Coturnix japonica: one gene and its partner. The protein of the gene in region 1 binds, or shares a complex with, the protein of each later gene. Links are inferred from orthologs where the notes say so. Each region holds a gene or a part of one and is shown on either strand. Other genes may lie near its edges. The genes, in order: NRP1 and PLXNA4.

What was found.
Region 2: the proteins of NRP1 (region 1) and PLXNA4 are in contact, whole or in part, in a cryo-EM structure (PDB 7M0R), measured with the Mus musculus proteins. The link is inferred for Coturnix japonica from reciprocal best matches to the Homo sapiens genes NRP1 and PLXNA4. Residues at the interface, in NP_032763.2 of Mus musculus: Arg80, Tyr84, Asp126, Tyr127, Glu128; in NP_786926.2 of Mus musculus: Glu272, Lys340, Lys343, Lys345, Leu349.

Annotation. Positions count from the first base shown.
Region 1 is NC_029517.1:12,644,506-12,648,328, reverse strand, and holds part of NRP1 (neuropilin-1), read right to left. Parts: intron 1,942-3,823; coding exon 1,797-1,941; intron 1-1,796. UniProt on the Homo sapiens protein: Cell-surface receptor involved in the development of the cardiovascular system, in angiogenesis, in the formation of certain neuronal circuits and in organogenesis outside the nervous system. Mediates the chemorepulsant activity of semaphorins.
Region 2 is NC_029516.1:2,401,381-2,405,203, forward strand, and holds part of PLXNA4 (plexin-A4), read left to right. Parts: intron 1-1,906; coding exon 1,907-2,175; intron 2,176-3,823. UniProt on the Homo sapiens protein: Coreceptor for SEMA3A. Necessary for signaling by class 3 semaphorins and subsequent remodeling of the cytoskeleton. Plays a role in axon guidance in the developing nervous system. Class 3 semaphorins bind to a complex composed of a neuropilin and a plexin.

The DNA of each region.
Region 1 (3,823 bases):
AGGTATAAGCTAGCACTAAAGAAACATTTCTGCACCCGTTACAAGTTATTCAGAGCACCTATTCCCCATATCTCCTTGAAAGCCCCTCTGGGAGCTCCTTCTAGCTTTCTACATCAAGTCAAGTTTTTTTATCTTGATCTTCATGCCCCTGTATAGCCTCAAGCTTGCCTACATCTCTGCCATCAATTCCTATAGGCCCCCTGGGATGCTCTGTAAGATACAAAGCTTCTCCTTGCTCATTACTGCTGGAGATCTGATTTTTTACTCCTGTCTGCGCCTAGCTCCATGCTTCTTTTCTCATCTCAATATCCATCCTCCTCAGTAAATCTCAAGTGACTTCTCTTCATTCAACTCCTTCCAAAAGATACAGTTATGCAACGAATTTTTCTTATTATGTTTCTCCCGTGGGCGAATGGAAATTGACCCTGCCTGTCCATGGATGACCTGTAGGTGAGCAACCTTCCGAAGTGCTCTAGAGTTGGGAAGATGAATGCAAGTAGATGTGTCCCATGTTGCTCACGGCAACAGGGAAACACAATACTTGCTGCTGCAGTTTGCCTAGTTAGTCTTCTCTGGCTCCTCCATGTCACTGAGCCACATGTTCTTGTAAGGTGATCCATAACCTTACTTCTTGATGTGAAGGTGGCTACAGGACCCCTGTAGCAGGAGGACATTACCCATGGGTTGTAAGTTTACACAGGGCAGGTGCTGAGTTTTCTTTTCTCTTTTCTGAGCAAGCAGTACAATAGTCTGCAGGAACCAAGAATTCTCACAGGAAATGAGGACTTCCTGCAGGAACTAAGAAGCATTTCCAAACTCCCAACTTTCTGGGCCAAGTAAAAAGCACACTTATTCAATTTGGCCTTCACTAAAAAACAACAGAGAGATCAGCAGTTCTCACAGTAATGTTTTCCACTCCTCTGCTGTGGGAATGAAATGGTGAGAAAGAAGTGGAGGTAGAGCAGTTTTGCATCTTGGGAGCCTGTTCAGCAACTTCTTTCTGAGGTATCATATGATACCCCTGATAATATGATTTGTTATTAGATGCATATTGCTAAGCTCTGTGATTTATAAGCCAAGCCACTGTACCTTCATCCACCAGATAACATTGTGAAATTCATGTAGTGCTCTCTGTAGTTATCTATGATGTTAAATAATTATTGTTTATATAACAAAAATCAAAGCATAATAATACTTCATGTCATAGTCCAAGAATAAATGTCTAAACTTTGCTTTTCCTGGTCTTTCATCTCTTTACATACTATTGCAAAATGAAAGCATGGTGTGGAACAAAAAAGACCTTCCTCACCCTTAAAAAGGAAGAACACAGATCCTGTCCATAAAAGTAATCACTACCTATCATAGTGTCTTGTGTGACTTTCACATCCTTTGAAGGAGCAAAAGGTGTAATTTCCCCCTTCTCATTCTCAGAAAATGTCTCTTTCTGGGTTGTATCATTGTAACAGAAAATACGAGTTTCTGTCTTCATTTTCTCCTAATAGCTCTATTCTTCTCGAAAGCATAATCATAAGTTTGCTTGAGGGAACAGAAACCATGTGGAGAATATCACTGTGATTCAACAAAGGATGGGAGAGAGAATAATATTTGTGCCTTCAGCATATTCGAACGTCTGCCCAGAAGGAACTGATTAGTCCAAGAAACAGCACTAATGGCAGTCACGGAAGCAAGAGTATGATGTGCTGCCTGTGCAAGAACAGCAGTGTTCAGCAGTAGTCCAAGTACCAAATGTATGTTTGAAAATAATAAAGGGCATTCATCTCTGGCAGAGCAATTACCTTCAAGTTCACAGCCCAGCAGCTCCATTCGAAGTCCCAGTCCAGCGTGTGTGGCTCTCTCAGGGTAGACGCGGATGAATCTCGTCGATACAGGTTCAAAAGTCCGCAGTTCAGGTGTATCGTAGTTGGTGTTGCCTTCAAACGTCTGCAAAGCATGACAAATGCTGCTTGTTAAAAAAGAAAAGATATTTCAACGCTTTCTTCACTCTCTAGCCTTTGAATTAGGTGAGAAGTAGGCCAGATTCTAACCATTTAATAAGTGTCAGACTTCCACATCCTAAATGAGAATGGAAAATACACAGTTAAAGCTTCTCGGAAAAGTAATGCATTTCATTTTTCATAAACTCGGTAGCAACCAATCCATCAGGGTCATAACAAGAGCTGAGTGTTTAATGAGACATGTTTTTAAATGACGCTCTGATCTGGGGTTTAACTGGGTGACATTTTCAACACTTCTTAGGGAAAAAAAATGACTGAGGTGAAGATCCTGTCACCTTTTAAGTGGTTACAATAATAATCCAACTATTCAAGAGAAAATTTCAATCTGATTTCCCCCAGTGACAGAGTTTCATAAGTTGTAGTTATTTCAAAAGGCATAAATTAAACTCCAGTAACAGTAGCTGCAAGAGTTCTTCCAGGGAGACTGCTATTGAATAAGAATAGAAAGAAAGGAAGAAAGAAAAAAAAGAAAGAAAGAATGAAAGAAAGAAGAGAGCTGCTTCCTGACAAAACTGCAATGTAATTTAACAGGGAAGGCAGGTCAGCGAAGGTACCTATCAAACAAAAAATCTCTTGTCTGAGTTGCACTCTGGGTTCTTCAGCCATAATATAGCTCTCAATTGCATTTGTCTGATACCTTCAGTGTCACCTGTCATTGATATTTCTTATATGGGACAAGTTATAATTTGTACTTAAACCAAAACCTTCATATAGTATCCATGGAGATTATAGATCCTTAGAATGAACTGACTGCACAAAGAAATGTTTCTTCCCATGAAATGTTTCAAAGTCTAGATGATTAAACAGAGTTATTTTTGGACTAATTTATGTAAAAAAAAATAACTTCAGAAGGCCCTGTGGAGAATAAACAACAAAATATTAAATGTATATAAAAAAAGTAAAATGATTTGGACTTTTCTTTCTGTTAATAGTTAAATTACAAATCAATAAAAATAATCTTTATTGAACTGATTAGAAGTGCTGCTAATTCCAGCTCATAACTGTGAGGTCTGAAGCTTTCTTCAGGAAGAAGTCAGCACTTGTCTGCCCTTATTTTGAATGAGAACAAAACTTGGCCTTCTTACTGACCTGGGGACAGAGAAAACCGAAGCCATAGGAAAAACTGACTGTATTGCCCAAAAGCACAGGTAAAACTGACAGCTGCTTGTGTTTTTAGTGCAGTCCTAAAAGCCCTGTTATGTTTGTTTTACACTTGTGTCTAGCGGATGGTCCAGAATCCCTTCTGGCCATTGGTTAGAGTGCCAGTCGCATAAGACAATGTTGCAGTCACATAAGCCAGAGTTGATGGGTAATTTCTACGTAAATGCTTTTGCTATTATTTCTTAGTGAAGACTGTAACTCTGAGGTGGTTCAAGGGGCAATACCTGATCTCATGTTCTGAAGGTGCCTGGAAGAAAGTTGTCAAGAATTCACATGTAGATAGCCTGTCAGAACTAATTAACATGCAATTATATATTATTAGATTTGAATTCCAACATAGGTCAAATGATCAAAAAGCTACCTACTGCATGTGAAAGAATGAATGCCATTTTATGTGTAGAAAATAGACAGATGTATCTGAGGAATCTTTGCTTCCTTTTTAATAGTAGTCTTAATAGCAACATATAATAATGACAACTGTTTTATAAAAGACATCAATACTAGAGTACTGACACATAGGCATTAGAATTCAATAGGCATCTAGAATTATATTGAATCATAATTATATTGAATCATTGTCCTTTGTAGTGAAGAGCTGCCTGTGATTCAATTTTGACTGTTCATTTAAAATACATACTGATATTCTT
Region 2 (3,823 bases), on another chromosome or scaffold:
GTGTCCCTTGTTCATTGCAGGGAGTTTGAGTAGATGACCTTTAAGGGTCCATTCCAACTCAAACGGTTCTATGATTCTATGATCTCCCCTTCCTAATTATCTTTTTCTATTTGGTTTTCTGCCTCCTTAATCCACTCTATTGCTTCTACAGTTCTTTCAGTGTCAAAGTCTTGGGATACAGGTAAACCAGGGAAAGCAGTTTCCATTCTGCTCCTTACCCTGTAGCACCTAGATGGAGCCAGCACTTATTGGGAAGAGGCCCCAGAGATCCTCAAGTCAGCAGGTCTTTCTTATTTCCAGCTCATTTGCTAATTAACTGCTTCCAGATGCATTACAAAATCCTTCTCTTGTTATTTTTTTTTAATACTACATAGTAACCTGGGGATAGACGATACTAAATGTTCAAACAAGTGAGTTAAAAATAATTATTAGAAGGATGAGTGGTAGTGGTTGGTTGATTGTCTCAAGCTGTTTAGTAAGTAATTTATTTTCAGTTTGCAAAAACAGTTAAGATCTCTCATTTCCAGAGTGAAAAAGTAACGATTCTTTATGGGGACTTGCATGACTTGTTCATTTAAGCACACTAACTTGGATTAAAGCACCAAAACGAGGTGGTTAATACATTCTTACAGCAGAGGCATGTATTGATCTGTGCTGTCAGTCTCCTGCTTCCAGGAATGTTTTTTGGAGGGATGAAAGAAATGTGGAGGAATGAGTTCGAGGTTCTCATTTAGGACTCACTGGTGTAGCACATAAAGGGATGAAGTATACCCACGGAGCGTGGCTTGATTTTGATCCATAGACAGAGAGCAGGAAAGGATTATGCCCACTGTAGAGTGTGGAATCCAGGGTTTAGTGTTGAGATCCTAAATTGTTCTACACCAAACATGTTTCACCAGCCTTTCACAAATGAGACATACACATCATCTTATCCACTGCCCTGTCTCTAAACGATCTCACCTCCCAAACCCCAGGATCCTACTGCCTTAGGACATCATTGAAAATAGGTTCCAGCTCCGTGCTTTCTGACACCTTCTTCTATCTGTGGTTCAGTGGTGATGGGTTGATGCTGGACTACAGTCTTTTAGTGTTGTTTTTTTTTCCAACCTTAATCTTTCTGTGATCTAGTTCTTCAGACCAAGACCCACCTCCATGCTCACCACCTCAGTTTCTGTCTCACTGTATCTCTTCATCTCCTCAAAACAAGACACCTGGACCCCTTTCTCTCATTATTTTAGTACTGTCTTTCCCAGCTCATTAAGCAGGGTCCCAAACCCATGCCTCATACTCCTTACATTGCACCTTCCCTGTGTTTAGGCAGCTTCTGAAGTGCAGCTGGTATGTTGTTGTCTGCTGGGACGAGGAGATAAAGAGACCTACATAGGTCCAGACCAACAAGAGACCCATGTAACCCCATGCTTTCCAACACTGACTCAGACTATTTTTCTCTTTAGGCAGGTTTCTTGCAGGGATTAAAAAGAGATGTTAAAGGGGGATAGAGTGAGACTTCAGTCTGACAGCAATAAGGATACAATATGCTATGATACCACATCCAGGCATCAGCAATTTCCTCTGGATGTGCTGTTCGGAGAGAGAGTAGCAGAGCTTGAAAATAACCACCTGGCTGTGGTTGGAATGTCTGTCTGTCTTCCTAACTATCGAATGACTCTCTCTCTTAAAGAACTATACTCCAAAACGTAAAACTTTTCTTTCTTTTTAATGTTCTTTGCTGTTGGAGACAGCTTTTCTGTATCTCAGAGCTGACTTGTATTTGTTGTTGAGTTATATAGCTGGAAGAGATGGAGGGCTAAGAGCAGAGAAGTAGCACAGTGTGTATGACTCACTTGGGAATGTCCTGACAGTGAGCAGTGAAAGAAAGGTATAAACTTTTTTTCTTCTCATACAGGTCCCTGGCTATAGGCAGGAACGGGTGGAGAAGGGCCTCAAGCTCTTTGCACAGCTCATCAACAACAAGGTTTTCCTGCTGTCCTTCATCCGCACACTGGAGTCCCAGCGCAGCTTCTCCATGCGCGACCGTGGCAATGTGGCCTCGCTCATCATGACAGTGCTGCAGGGCAAGCTGGAATATGCCACGGATGTCCTCAAGCAGCTCTTGGCTGACCTCATAGACAAAAATCTGGAGAGCAAGAACCACCCCAAACTGCTACTCAGGAGGTAAAGATATCCAGGGCTGGGCAACCTGCGACCCACTATTTAATACAAGCATGCAGTTCCATTTTGGATGAAAATGATGCATTTGCTTGATTTTGGTTCATGGAACAGAGTATGAAATTATATATAGCCATAGTTCATATGACCCTGTAGAGCTGGCATGAAGCTGTTTGCAGGGAAAGGTGGATAAGGCATGTAGAGATGAGTGAAGGCTTTGCTTTCCATTACTGGTTTGCTGCTCTCTTCCTTCAGCCAGTGATTGGAAATTTTACTCCTATTGCATTATCTGTATATTTTAATGTGAATCTTCAGAAAACTTCATAAGAGCAGCATGAGGCCACATTTCATAAGCCTTATTGTGGACTTGTGCTAGACCAACAAGTATATGACATAGTACAGGCTGTGTAATTTACTTGGACTATGTAGTGAGTAAATTGGAAGTTGCCTTATCATGCCTGAGAGGTGGACAAATCTGCTGTGCTTCAGGTTTCTGAGTTACCTACATATGTAGTCTGTGTCCGCTGCATTGTGTGATCTCCTGTCTCTTCCTGATCATTGGCTTTTGGAGCCAGTTGAACCCAGAAAGCAGAGCTGAGCAGGACAACAGAAATGGTTTCATTTGGGTTTGTGCTTCACATTCTAATCTCCAGAATTGTGTGGAAAACTTGAATATGCTGCTCTGTAGTTAATATAGTTTCCTTGCTTAGGGAAAGGCAGCATTTTCTCCTTTTAGGATCATATTAATCTTCTTTCTATGGTCTGAACCAACCCTTCTGCTTGAAGTCAGAACTTTAAGTGAAAAAGGGGATGGATGGCCTTTGCCACTGCTCAGAGCAGTGTTTGAGGTGCTCAGAGCTGATTATAATGGATGGCTCAGGCAGAGGAGAGGTCTGTGGTGCCTGCTGGGAAAGTTTTCTTCTGACCCACTGCCCATCATGAGGTGCCAGCAAAAGGAGGAGCAGCAGGCATTTCTTGGCATTCAGAGTAGCAACACCAGGGGCAGAAAATGGTCTTCACTTCAGCATTGTTTGACACCCTGAGTCCTATAGCCTGGCTGGCAACCTCCCTCCAGCAGTCCTCAGCCTTCCTCTCTGTGCTTTACCTCTGATGCTTGTTGTCACTGCCTTCTTCCAGTTATCCCTTAATTTATCTTCACCTTTCTTTTCCCCTCTCTCCATCTCCTTATCTTTTCTGATTGTTCATCCCTGTCTTTTCCTGAGTCCCCCATTTCCCCCTTTTCAGCGTCTTCCAGCTCTTTTCTAACCGTAATCCCATTTGTTGAGAATGCACTTTGGCCTTTGTCAGGCCACATGTGAACGTATGTTTGGCTCCATTCCATGACCCTGACTGAGGGGAGCACAGGGCAGACAGGTTGGGTTTGACAGATGGAGTCACTAGAGAGAGACACAGCAATGATCACTGTAGACAAAAGAAATGAGACCGATGTTATGCTGAAAGACTAAGGAACCTAAAAAGCAACCTACAGCCCTAAGCAAGATACTTTGAAGATACTTGGTGATAGCCAGGTCTAGCAAGACCCATGTTTACTCATTCAAGCAGGAACTCTTGCTTTCTTCTTGAGCAGAAGCAGTCCATGCATTGGAAGCAACACAAGCTTATCGTGTGCTCCTGGTGCCCAAACCCAGTTAAC